Caenorhabditis elegans: one gene and its partner. The protein of the gene in region 1 purifies or fractionates together with the protein of each later gene. This does not show direct contact. Each region holds a gene or a part of one and is shown on either strand. Other genes may lie near its edges.

Evidence for each region.
Region 2: the proteins of plx-2 (region 1) and lad-2 purify together in Caenorhabditis elegans (affinity purification with western blotting, with the first as the bait; one study listed by BioGRID). This does not show direct contact.

The regions. Positions count from the first base shown.
Region 1 is NC_003280.10:14,418,643-14,426,719, reverse strand, and holds the start of plx-2 (Plexin-2), read left to right. Parts: upstream 1-1,828; 5' UTR 1,829-1,838; coding exon 1,839-1,988; intron 1,989-2,122; coding exon 2,123-2,250; intron 2,251-2,295; coding exon 2,296-2,772; intron 2,773-2,820; coding exon 2,821-3,079; intron 3,080-3,123; coding exon 3,124-3,288; intron 3,289-3,496; coding exon 3,497-3,631; intron 3,632-3,684; coding exon 3,685-3,819; intron 3,820-3,863; coding exon 3,864-4,521; intron 4,522-4,583; coding exon 4,584-4,738; intron 4,739-4,787; coding exon 4,788-6,704; intron 6,705-7,325; coding exon 7,326-7,482; intron 7,483-7,530; coding exon 7,531-7,701; intron 7,702-7,750; coding exon 7,751-8,077. UniProt on the Caenorhabditis elegans protein: Involved as a receptor for mab-20/sema-2a in the formation or stabilization of cell-cell contacts at several stages of epithelial morphogenesis. In early embryonic development, required for proper ventral closure of the epidermis.
Region 2 is NC_003282.8:2,975,241-2,980,175, forward strand, and holds the start of lad-2 (Neuroglian), read right to left. Parts: upstream 3,245-4,935; 5' UTR 3,159-3,244; coding exon 3,092-3,158; intron 3,047-3,091; coding exon 2,932-3,046; intron 2,208-2,931; coding exon 2,091-2,207; intron 2,045-2,090; coding exon 1,974-2,044; intron 1,191-1,973; coding exon 1,070-1,190; intron 1-1,069.

The DNA of each region.
Region 1 (8,077 bases):
TAGCAGTTACTCAGTTTGCAATAAGGCTGTGCGGCTGGTAGAAAAATTACAAAGAATCGAAAGTTACCGAAAGACAAAACTAATTTTTAAAAAATTTAAACAACGCTACTAGGTTCCAGACACGATGTTTATAAGGGAACTCCGGCAATTGAGCAAAACCTTCCTATGTACATGTGTTCTTAGTTCTTCTTGAAACTCTCATGTTAATAGGTTCACAACCTACTTAACCCCTAGAACACGCTCTGTTTGTTTTTGACACCGTCTTCCGTTGTCTCTTGCGCTCCGCCGTCATCACCTGCCACGCAGCTCATTAACTCATTAACTCATAAGCTTGTGCCTTGTCTTGGCTTAGCTGTATATATATACGCTTCCTTAGTCTATATAGAACACCTACTAATGATCCTAATGTGCATGCATTTTTATTTTTGTACCAGTCGGCAGTTTTTCAAGATATAATCCAAATTATTTCAATTATTTGAATTTTTGTGAAATTTTAGTCTAGACCCATATGGCCCAAAACTGCCAAATGTTGTGTAAAGGCGTTCTGAAATATTAGCACTAAAGGAGTTTTTTTTTAAATGAAATCCCACTGCCCCACAAATAACCATCACTATTTCAATAATCAATACTATAAACTTTACACACTCTGTTCCGGAGTCCTCACCATGTGATCGATTAGAATCAAACTCATTAATCATTTTCTTTGACATAATTCGCGGGTTGCTCTCTACCCGACTTTTCGCAAATACAAACTGAACATCTGTCTGCCGAGTTAGTGATCATTAATGAATATTTATCTAGTTTCAGATTTTTTCGTATGTACATACATATTTCTATTTCATTTTCCCCCAACCCGGCTTACCCAGTCCCTCCGGATCCTCCTGACACATTTCCCCTTGTCCGTCCATCTATTTTCATTGTCCATCCCATTTTTTGCTCTTTTTTGCTTGTGCTCTTTTTCATATCTTCTTTTGCTTCTCAGTTTCATGTTCCATTTTTGGTTTGGACCCTATAGGACCGAAAACTCATTTGGGGATTACATTTATGTCATTTTTACTCATTTCCCCTCATTTTACGTTTCCGTTTCTTTTTAAAATATTACATGTTTCTCTACGGACCTCCAAAAGGCTACGGCTTCTATTCAAAAAATATAACTGCCTGCCTGCCTACAAGGTGATCTATGCCTTATACAACTAGAACTACAAAAATTTTGGTCACTACTAGTTAATTCTGAATTTGGTTCAAACAATCTATAAAATGAGAAATTTATAAATTGTATTTACTAATCCAAATGTACTTCTTCAAAACGTAACAAACAAATGACCATTTTGTAAATGTCTGCACAAAAAATGTCTAACCGATTCGCTTCATCGACGACCATCGGTTCACTTTTTTTCGTTTGATTGATCATGATGGAAATGGTCAGTCAAGTATTGTATTGCATTACAATTAAACATTGAATTCGTTCACGTTTCAAGTGATTTATAGGTTATGTGGTTATTGAAGAATGGGGAGACATTGGACACAGGTATTTCCTTATGTTGGAAAAATTTATTACATTTTTTTTTGGAATGAATTAACCTAGTTTTTGCATTTTTGGTTTTTCATGAAAATTTTTAATCAAAATACTATTGAGGTTAGTAAATTCTTTTTTGGTGTCACGTTTTATTACTTCGATGAGTTGGTAGAAGTTAGGAGTTAATCGCCTTTTAGTCAAACATGCAGGCATATTAGTACCTTTATTTTCAAATTTCTGAATTGGCTAAACTTCTTTTAAATTTCTCTATTACTTTTTTTCTGAAATGATCATAAATCTTCTTATTTTCAGAAATGCGATTATGCTCCCCGAATCGGTGTTTCTTCTCCTAATCAGCCATTTTCTGCGGGCGGTAACCCAGCCGCCCTTTGAAACAGAAGGCGTGAAACAAAAATTATTTCATTTTTCTGGACACATTGACGACTTTATTGTCTCGAGGGACCAACAAACGGTAGGACATCTCACAATTTCGAGAATTTTGAGAAAACTATCATTTTTGAAAGCTAGGCACGCCCTCATTTCTGCCTGCCTAATAAGCCTAAGCAGAAGCCTATAGTTGGTACCTGAGTAATTTTAATCTTTCAGATCTACGTGGCATCTCTCAACCGACTAACATCTTTATCAATTTCTAATTTTTCAATACAACATGAGGTTTCACTCGGTCCGGTTCAAGATTCTCCTTGGTGCTCTGCAGATGGAAAATCTTGCTTAAAGCTAGTTAATCAACATCACGTCTTTATCCAAATTATTATTTTCAGAGACAATCGCCCCTTCCCAACAGATGTTCGCACAAAAATCCTACAAATCCTTCCCACAAATCAAATTCTTCAGTGTGGTTCTGTAAAGCTCGGGTCATGCTCCACGTTCAATTCGAAGTTATCTCTCATCACTGAATCCACTATCGCAGTTGCCGCGAATTCTCCAGACGCGTCCACAGTATCGAAAATCATCGATAATCGTTTAATTGTTGCGGCAAGTGCAACGAAAGAATCTCCGTATCGAGACCCGTTTCCAGCGGTTGCAATTCGAAACTTGCCCGGTCTGAATGTTGAGAATGCCGGTGATCTGGAAGGAGAAGCTGCAGTTTTCCTGAGAGCAGCTTACAAGAATGCATTCAAGTTTTTGTACACCTTTACGCATCAACATTTTGTGTTTGTGGTCGCCATGGTCACACCAAGAGAGTCAAGATTACCTATGACAACCAGGTTGATACGATTCTGCCGAAATGACACAAAGTAGGTGTTTAGGCCAAAAATTAGCAAAAGTTATATCCCTATTTTCAGATTTGAATCCTACTCTGAAATCGAACTTCAATGCCGCGGAGAGGACAATACCAACTATCCATTTCTGAACGCAATCATTCAATCCTACGACAAGCTGATCGCATCGTTCTCAACATCATCCACATCTCCAAAAAGTTCCATTTGTGTATTTTCGATGCAAAAAGTGAAGCTGACTTTTTGGTACAATGTGGATAGGTGTAGAAGTGGTACTGATTCGATTAGACTACCTCATATCGGGAGAGATACAAAATGTGTTAATGCAAGTTTTAGGTTTTTCAATGAAGAAATTATTTCGCTTTTCAGAAAGCCCACATACCCCTCGACGAAGATAGCTGTGAGCTCGGTGTTGGTGGATCAATTGAACTTGTTGAGATGTCCACAAAAGACATTATGGGAAAGGTGACGTCATTGATGGCTGTAGATCAAAAAGCAATTTTCGCGGGAACAACAACTTCGCAGATTGTGATGGTAAATTTTACTAAAAAAGCTAGCTAGATTCACACGACTAACTGCTTGTGATCCATCATTGTCGCTGACCCTAAACAGCATTTCGAATGACACTTTAATCTTCAAAAATGTATATGAAAACAAATGTCAATCAAATGCATATCACAAAGGGATTATTTCTTGAAATCATAGGACTGATCTTTAAAAAAACTATTACAAACAATTTTAGTTTAAATGGGACGAGCACCATTCAAACCAGTTGGAAGAGTACGGTAGAAAGGAAGTTGGAGATGGGCGAACTGGGAGCGAGGTCAGCAAAATGGTCAAATTTGGGGATTTTGTCATTGTGCAGATGCCATATGGAGTAAGTTTATTTTGAAAAAAGGGTTTCATGTAGAACAAATTTTGGTTTTTTAGATCATATTAGAAGAGCTTTCCACTTGCTCTCATCACAGCTCATGCACAGAATGCTTAGTCTCTGTAGACCCACTCTGCCAATGGTGTCATCCGACGCAATCGTGTACGACTTCAGCAAGGTGTACTAGTCCAGTTGTAAGCAAGTTTATCTTTGTTCTATTTTGGCATACACGTTTCAGACTTCTCAGTGTCCAATTGTCGATGGTGATCCGATTCCTTCAATAGTCTCCGTGAACTCCTCTACCCCTATATCCTTCAACATTCACCATCTTCCACCTCCAGTCGGTTTCACTTATAGATGCCAATTCGGAACATCAACATCATCTATCAAAGCTAACTGGACAACGACCGGAGTTTCATGCCCATCGGAAATTTTTACATCACCAAACACTTTTGAAATTTTGTTGCTAACATCAATTTCCAATAATCCAATCAGCCGTCACAACTTCACAGTTTACGATTGCTCGGGTTACGGTACATGCTCGTCCTGTATGAGCTCTGAGTACAATTGTGCCTGGTGCTCTGGATTGCACAAATGTTCGAATTCCTGTGGGGCATTGGAAAAATCAAAAGCCTGCGTGAAAATTCAACCAATGAGGCTCCCAATTGCTATCGGTTCTCAACAAGAAATCGTGCTCGAGGCGTCTAACCTGGATACTCTTGATCGAAGGCACGAACATTTTTGTAAAGTAAACGAGCAAGTGTCTCTTGCAAAGATTGCAAGCGATAGTATCCGTTGTGGCAAGATTCAGTTGACTTTGAGCAACACTACGAGTGCAAACATGGTGGTTCCGTTGAGCCTGATCACAAGGGACTCTGTAATTGATATTGCTAATGGTAAGTACCAGAGATTTGTGAATTCAGTTTACAATACATACTTTAATTGAACTGCTTTTCAGTGTCCCTTTACTCTTGCACCAACCTGGCATCTGACTGTTCCAGTTGTCTTGCTCTTTCCCCTTCACTATCATGTGGATGGTGTAATCGACAGTGCTCCCACGAGTGCCACGAGTCAAAGGCCACTGCTGTGTGTGATCCACCAAGAATCGATAAAGTAAAAATGATATGAATACGTATATATCTTGTATTTAAAAATGTTTCAGTTCGAACCAACAAGTGGGCCCATCGAAGGAGGCACAATCATCAAAATCTATGGGAATGACCTGGGCATGTCTGTAGAAGACGTTCGTGGAAAGATCTATGTCGCCGGTTCTAGATGTAATATTGTGGAGTATCATGTTTCTAACATGATTGCATGTCAAGTCGACAAAGGTGTCAGCTCGGGCCCAATCAGGATATCAGTTGGTCGGGCAACAGTTGCAGTAGCAGAATCATCGGAACTATATTCGTTTGTAAGAACATCAATATTCTCCGCTTACCCCCTGTATGGCCCAATATCTGGCGGAACTCGAATAACTCTGTACGGTCAGAACTTATCAAGTGGATCTCAAACCTCTGTGACAGTTGGTGGCATGCCGTGTCCTATTGAAAGGGTAAATTCTTCAACAGTTTTGACTTGTCTAACACCTTCTGGAACTCGAATTGGAAAATCTGCTAGAGTAGTTGTTCATGTGGATCACTCCCAGACTCAACTCGATCAACCATTTGAATATCGATCGGACCCGTCTATTAGCTCAATCTTCCCGATGACTTCTTTCAAAGCCGGCGGAAGAATTGTTTATGTTCAAGGCAACTCATTGAACACTGTTCAAACAGCAAAGCTATTCCTCATATCATCTCCAACACCTCCGTTTTATATAATATCTGATCTGGCTCCATGTCACATCATTAACTCTACATTAATGACTTGTATGACTCCAAAAATTTTGGAAACAATCACTAGAAGAGTTGAGTATACACGGCAACCTGTGGGTTTTCACATGGACAATGTCACAGCTGTAGCAAATTTGGGAAGACGAATTCAGATGGGCATCTATCCGAATCCGACGCTTTCTCCGTTCAAAGGAGTACGATATCATCAGGGAGAACAATCACTCATTCTTGAAGGACACAATCTAAATCTTGCTGCGGAGCCAAATGATTTCAAGATCTTCATTGGAAATGAGAGATGCTACGTGACACTTGTAGATGTTAGGCAATTGGTGTGCTCGGGACCGGTGAGGCAACCAAAAGCTACCGATGAAAGAGGAATTCCAATTAATGGGGATAACCCGCTGGTTACTGTAATAGTTGGATCACTTAGAATGGAGCTTGGGTTGATTGAGTATTCCGATCATGCACTCCCGTCCAGACTATCACTTTTGATTCTTGGGCTACTTCTGTTCATTGTTGTCACGTTGACTGTGATGTGCTTGGTTTTCAAGCGGAGGCGTCAAGAACGAGAGAAAGAATACCGAAAGATTCAGCTTCAAATGGAAAATCTTGAAAACAATGTTCGTAAAGAATGCAAGCAAGCATTCGCTGAACTTCAAACAAACCTAGTACTATCTCCAAAGTCTGCAAATTCTGTGAACCTTGGACCGGAACTCATCAACTTCCCGCATTTTGTGGAGAACCTGCTCTGGTCTGATAACAACCTTACATCTGCGCCGAGTTTGGCAAGGACTCTCCCAGTGACTCTTGCTCAATTTCATGCACTTCTGAGCTTCAAAGGCTTTATTTTCACTATCGTAGAAGCTGCAGAATCGGATGTCTCCATATCAACATCAGAGAAGTCAATGTTAGCAAGCCTCCTGATATCTGTGTTACTTCGAAACTTCTCTTATTGCACTGAAGTTGTTGTGGACCTTCTACGTGCCCATATCGCAAGATCGGTTCAAAATAAGCGCGCCGAGTTACTGTTTCGGAATAGTGACTCGGTGGTGGAGAAAATGTTCTCAAAGTGGATGAGCATTTGTTTGTACTCCCATTTGACTCCGCAAATGAACTCGTACTTCTATCTATATAAGGCGCTACAATATCAAACTGACAAAGGACCCGTGGACGCGGTGACCGGTGATGCGAGATATACGATTAACGAGGCCAAATTGTTAAGGGAGAGTGTGGACACAAAGACTTTGGTGAGCTTTTTTTCAAATTTTCAAATGTTCAAGGTTTTATAAAAAGTTTCACAAGTGTTTAAACTCATAGAGGTTAAAGATGATTTTTAACTTTACAATGTATCTTTTACTACGGTGATTTTTTTTACTACGCTTTGTATCTTATTATTGTATCTTACTAGATGTTTTTTACTACGAGTTCAAAACTCATTTTTATAATTTATTCCAAGTATAATTACCCAAATATAGTGAATACAAATGTCGCACTTGTAGTTTGTAGTCAAGTAGTTCTAGTAAATTTGAGTATACCCGGGTTAGTAAAATAACAACGTAGTATATAAGATGAAATAGTGAGAAAATATTTTCCTATTATTTCAAAGTTTACTAGACTACGAGAGAATCAACGGTTATTATGAACGGCTACTAAATTTTATTATCGGAAGAAACGAATTTTGGTAGAAATTCCACAAAATTGTGAATTGATGTAACAAATTTACATAGTTATTTAACCTGGATTAATCAGAAAATATATAATTCATTTTAACAACATACCTTTGTTTCAGTTTTGAAACGTTTACAGTTGATCCCACAGGAAAAGGGAAAGCAAGTCTAATTGATATGCTATTTTTGGTTAATTTTCAGAAAATTCGTGTGATTCCATTTGAAAAATGCGATGAATCAATAGATCTTGAAGTTCATGCATGCGACGCAATTTGTCAAGTCAAACAAAAAGTTGCTTCAGCTGTCTATCGTGAAACACCATATTCACAGCGACCGAGAATAACGCAGTTCGAATTGAGTGGGTCATAAATAATCCCATATGTGTCTTCAATCAGTTTTTTTTCAGAATATAAATGTCCCAAACGGGGAGATGTGAAACTGACCGATGTTTTGCCAATTGAGACGTTATCGCAGAAAAAGCTACCAGTAAAGTTGTTCACTTTGGCAGATTACGGTATCAGTGATGGCTGTACGCTGGAAATGTCTCCAGCGGTTTATACAGCGGAAAGCTATAGAAGTGAGTTAATTGAAGAAACAAAATTTGAATATAACCCTTAAAATTTCAGATTCTCTCGCAGATTCTGGACAATCTTCCTGGTCATCGTTAGATCGATGCTCTCCAATTTATTCATCTTCAAAATACTATCACCTAACAAATCCGTCATCTGGAACTATGACTTTCAAGAAGAAATCTTCAAACGACAGCAATTTGCTACCCAAATCTATTCCAGAAGTGTACCTAACAAGGTTGCTCACTTCAAAGGGAACAGTAGAAACTTATGTGGAAGACTTCCTAGAATCCGTACTATACATGCACGATTCAAGCTACCCGCCAATTTTAAAATTCTTCTTTGACATTTTGGATCGTGAAGCTTCAGTGAACGGAGTTTCTG
Region 2 (4,935 bases), on another chromosome or scaffold:
CCGATTTGCCGGAAATTTCAATATTGGCAAATTGCCGGTTTACCGGTTTGCCGGAAATTTCAATTCTGGCAATTTGCCGATTTGCCGGAAATTTTCGTTTCCGGCAATTTGCCGATTTGCTGAAAATTTCAATTCCGATAGTTTGCCGATTTGCCGGAAACTTCAATTCCGACAATTTGCCAATTTGCCGAAAATTTCAACTCCATTAATTTACCGGTTTGCCGGAAATTTCAATTCTGGCAATTTGCCGATTTGCCGGAAATTTTCGTTTCCGGCAATTTGCCGATTTGCTGGAAATTTCAATTCCGATAGTTTGCCGATTTGCCGGAAACTTCAATTCCGACAATTTGCCGATTTGCCGGAAATTTCAATATTGGCAAATTGCCGGTTTACCGGTTTGCCGGAAATTTCAATTCCGACAATTTGCCGAAAATTTCAACTCCATTAATTTACCGATTTTCCAGAAATTTCAATTCTGGCAATTTGCCGATTTGCCGGAAATTTTCGTTTCCGGCAATTTGCCGATTTGCCGACAATTTCAATTCCGACAGTTCGCCAATTTTCCGGAAATTTCAATTCCGACGATTTGTCGATTTGCAGGAAATTTCAATTCCAGCAGTTGGCTGATTTGCCGGAAATTTGATTTCCGACAATTTGCCGATTTACCGGAAATTTCAATTCCGACAATTTGCCGATTTGCCGAAAATTTCAATTCCGGCAATTTGCCGATTTGCCGGAAATTTGATTTCCGACAATTTGCCAATTTGCCGAAAATTTCAATTCCGGCAATATGCCGATTTGCCGGAAATTTCAATTCCGACAATTTGCCAATTTTCCGGGAATTGCAATTCCCACAATTCACCGATTTCCCGGAACTTTCAATTCTGGCAATTCGCCGATTTGCCAGAAATTTAATTTCGGCAATTTGCCGATTTGCCGGAAGTTTCGACGTATTTTTTTTTACACAAAAAAACGTGCAATTTTACGAATCTCCCAAATTTTTTGTTTTTGTTAAAATTTTGGAAAACTTCAATTCTGTGTTTTTAAGAAATTTTGCCTATTCCCTTACCTATAAAGCCAGACAATTTTCGGATCAGGTGTGCCACGTGGCGGTGTGCAATTCAACGTCAGCGACTCTCCTTCCTTCACTCTCAATAGTTTAACATCCCGTTTTGGAAAGTGTTCCAGTGCTGGAAATAATTAATTTTCTCGATAACACGTGGTGTCAGGCTGTCCCATTACGGTTTGATCTAAAAAACGCGGAAATTTTTAGTCCAAAAATTGTGACGTCAGCGAAATCAGTTGATAACCCTGCGTCTCTTCTCCCGCATTTTTTGTAGATCAACGTAGATCAAGCCGAAATGAAACGCTCTGACACCACATTCGATAAAACATATCATTTTCTTTTTTCTTTTTTCTCCCCTTCCCTTTTTATAATAATCAACATGTGGTGGTGGGTGGTCTTGATTAAATCCGTCCCCATTCACTAATTAGCACCTTGGCGAGCTAAAAGGGGGCAAAAAGAGCACTCGAGTGCTCATTGAGCCAAATTCAAAACAAACACATTATTATTATTATTAGCATAATTCTTATTATTTATTGATTGATACTGGAAGTTGTTGAAAAAATGGCTTCAAAACTGAATTTTAATTTTTCCAAATTTTGAAAAGTTTTAAATTTGAATTTCCCACCAAAATTTCTGGCAAAAATTGAGTTAAAATTCCACACCAAATTTCGTTAGAAACTAAAAAATTGAATTTTAACTTCCCGCAGAATTTTTTTTAATATTCAAATTTTAACATTCTCAGGGCATTTTCCATGCTGAAAATAATCCAATGTGTTCTGGAAAAATTAACGTTTTTTATTCCTATTTTTTTATGCGCCAAAATAATTTTTTCACAAAATTGTTCAAAAAATAAAATTCGACTTTCCCACCAGTATTTTAAAATTCTAAAAATCATCTAAAAACTAACATCCAAGCCTCAAATGCATTTTGTTCGAAAGTGCTGTTCCAAATATATTCGATGCGAAACATTGATAATATCTGCAATATTTTTTGGTTTTTTTTTCCAAAAATCTGAATTTCTCACCCTTGATGACTAGCATGAGGTTTTGTAAAAACAATTGATCCAGATTGACTTTCTTTTTCCCAAAGAACATCTTCGGAATCAATGACGAATGGCTCACCGTCTTTGAGCCAGGAGTATCTGGAAATAGAGTTGATAAATGCCTGCCTACATACCTACCTAATTACCTGCCCTAAATAGCTACCTACGTGCCTGCCTACCTTCGAGGTGACCTTTGCCTGTCTTGTGCCTACAACCAAAAAACACATACTTTTATTGCAGAAATAGTTTATTTATATAGGCATAAATGTCTACCTGCCTACCACATGGGAGGCCTACACCTGCCTCATGTCTTTCGGTAGGCGCCTGGCAGGCGACGGTTTTTCGCAAACTTTTCACAGCTATTTTAAAAAATGCTCTCGAATTCTCTCAAAAATTTTCATCAAATTCTCAACAAAAAAAACAAGATTTCTCAGTTTCAGACATGAAGGCACGTAGGCACGCTATTTTAAAAATGTATACCTATAGGCAGGGCCTACAATATACAGGCGCCCAGACATAAGCTGCATAGTGCGAAGTACCTTCAACCAAACCAAAAACTCAACTAAAAAAACCGAAAAAGTTAAAAAAAAATAGGCAGTAGGCAGAGCTGGAATTTGTAGTACCTACTATGCCAGTAGGCAAGCAGGCATAAAAATGTATTGTTCACTAGAGGCGTAGGCAAGTAAACACGAGGTTGGTGGTGCCTACTAGACACCTGCTAGGCACAGAGGTACAAGGCACGTAGGCAGGTAGGCACCTAGTAGGTGCCTAGGTAGGCTTGCATGTTTTACGCAGCACCTGTCAATCCCAAATTTCCACCCACCTGTCAGTATTCTCATCTGCCTCGCAACGAAGTGTCAACCTGTTTTTGAGGAGATCCTCATCATCTAAATGATACCACACCTCTTCGCCTGATTGTTCTAGAAGCTTCGGGGGACCTGGAGTTCACAGTTTCAGACATTTTAAAGTTACAAAACTCTTACCAATACTATTTTTTTGTGCAGCAAATACCTGAGTTATTAGAAGAAACTGTGCAATAACTAAACGCATTGTTGGAAAAATCCAAAAAAAAAGTCTGCTACCAAAAATCTACCGACGTCTCAGGATATGATGCATTATAGGCAGGCAGTCTAAAATGTTCGAAATTAATCAAATAACGAAAAAGGAGGCGGAGTCACGGGGCGGGGGTATGATTATGGAGTGTCCGCGGGGCGAATGTCAATGAGATGCAAATCATTGACAGAAATTGGAGCCCGTCTGGTATTTGGGAAACGGGGGGTGAAGAGGGGGGAATGGCATGGTGCATGAGGGTGATCGAATATTGGAGAAAATGGTGAACACTCTGTAAGCACGTGGAGTCAGAAAGTCCCATTTCGTTTTGATCTTCGAAAAATGCGGGAGCTGAGACGCAGACATCTCATCTGATTTTGCACTGCTGTGCTGACGTCACAACTTTTCTGGAAAAATATTCCCGCATTTTTTGTAGATTAAGCTGTAATGAGACAGCCTGACACCACGTATTTAAGTAGTCTTTAGAAATGCTCCTGGAGCGGATTTTTCTTAAAATCTTTGATTAATCTAGGGCACGTGGTGCCAGGCTGTCCCATTACGGTTTGATCTACAAAAAATGCGGGAGTTTTTTGCCCTGAAAATGTGACGTCAGCAAGTTCTTGAGAACTCTGCGTCTCTTCTCCCGCATTTTTTGTAGATCAACGTAGATCAAGCCGAAATGAGGGATATATTTTTTATTTTTTGAAATTTTAAGAATACTCTTTTTTTAGGGTCCTCCTAAATTAAGAAAAAGAGAAAATTTCCAGTTGAAAATTTCCAGAATTTTCGCTCTAAAAATACAGTCCCTGGTCTCGAAACGATGTAGTTTCGAAATTTGCCAATTTTTATAGTTTCTCAAGCAAAAATATGTTTATTCATTTAAAAACTTAAATATTATAGAAAATAAAAAATCATGTGAAAAACTATGCATGAAAACTCGAAAAGAAAAATTGAAACTACAGTACTTTGTAAAGGCGCACACCTTCTTGCATGTAATAAAAAAAATATCAAAAATTGTCGCTTCGAGACCCGAGGTACTGTAGTTTTGAAGGGAAAATCGCTAAATTTTGTGTCTGGGTGATAGTTTTGAATTTTTTTGGAACTTTTATTTTCTGAATTTTTTTTCACACTTTTAGACCCCGTAAATCTACACCAACACTTAAAAAAAATTTTAAGCTTGACTAAAAAATTTCCGATCCCAAAAACCTTTTCAAAATAATCAAAAATCTACAAAAAAAACTGCTCTCGATCGGAAAAACGTCGTTTCGGAATAATAAAAAATAAAGTATTTTCGGTAATTTTTTCAGAAAAATCAAAACAAAAAGTACAAAGTAAACAGAAAAACATCGCCTGCAGTGGCTCCGATATTTTTTTGGTCCCAGAAGTCACAGAAATTGCACAAGAAAAAATCTTGTCTTATCCTCGGCGTCATGGACAATCGAGCCAATCAGGAAGTGAGAGAGTAGGGGAGACGAAGAGACGCAGAGACACAGGAGGGGGGCCCTACAGGAAGACGATGACTGGAGATGGCATGGAAAAAGATGAGGCAGACTATCATCTGCTATTCTAGTTTTGAGGAGAGAGGGAACTGATGTTGATGATGGACAATGAAACTATTTTCAAGTGGCGAGTTTTTGGGATTTTGGAAATTTTAGAAAAAAAGATTGCTTTTATTTTTGGAGAGATAAAATTTCGGATAAAAATATACGCATGGTGGGCCAGACTGTCCCATTACGGTTTGATCTACAAAAAATGCGGGAATTTTTGCGCAAAAATT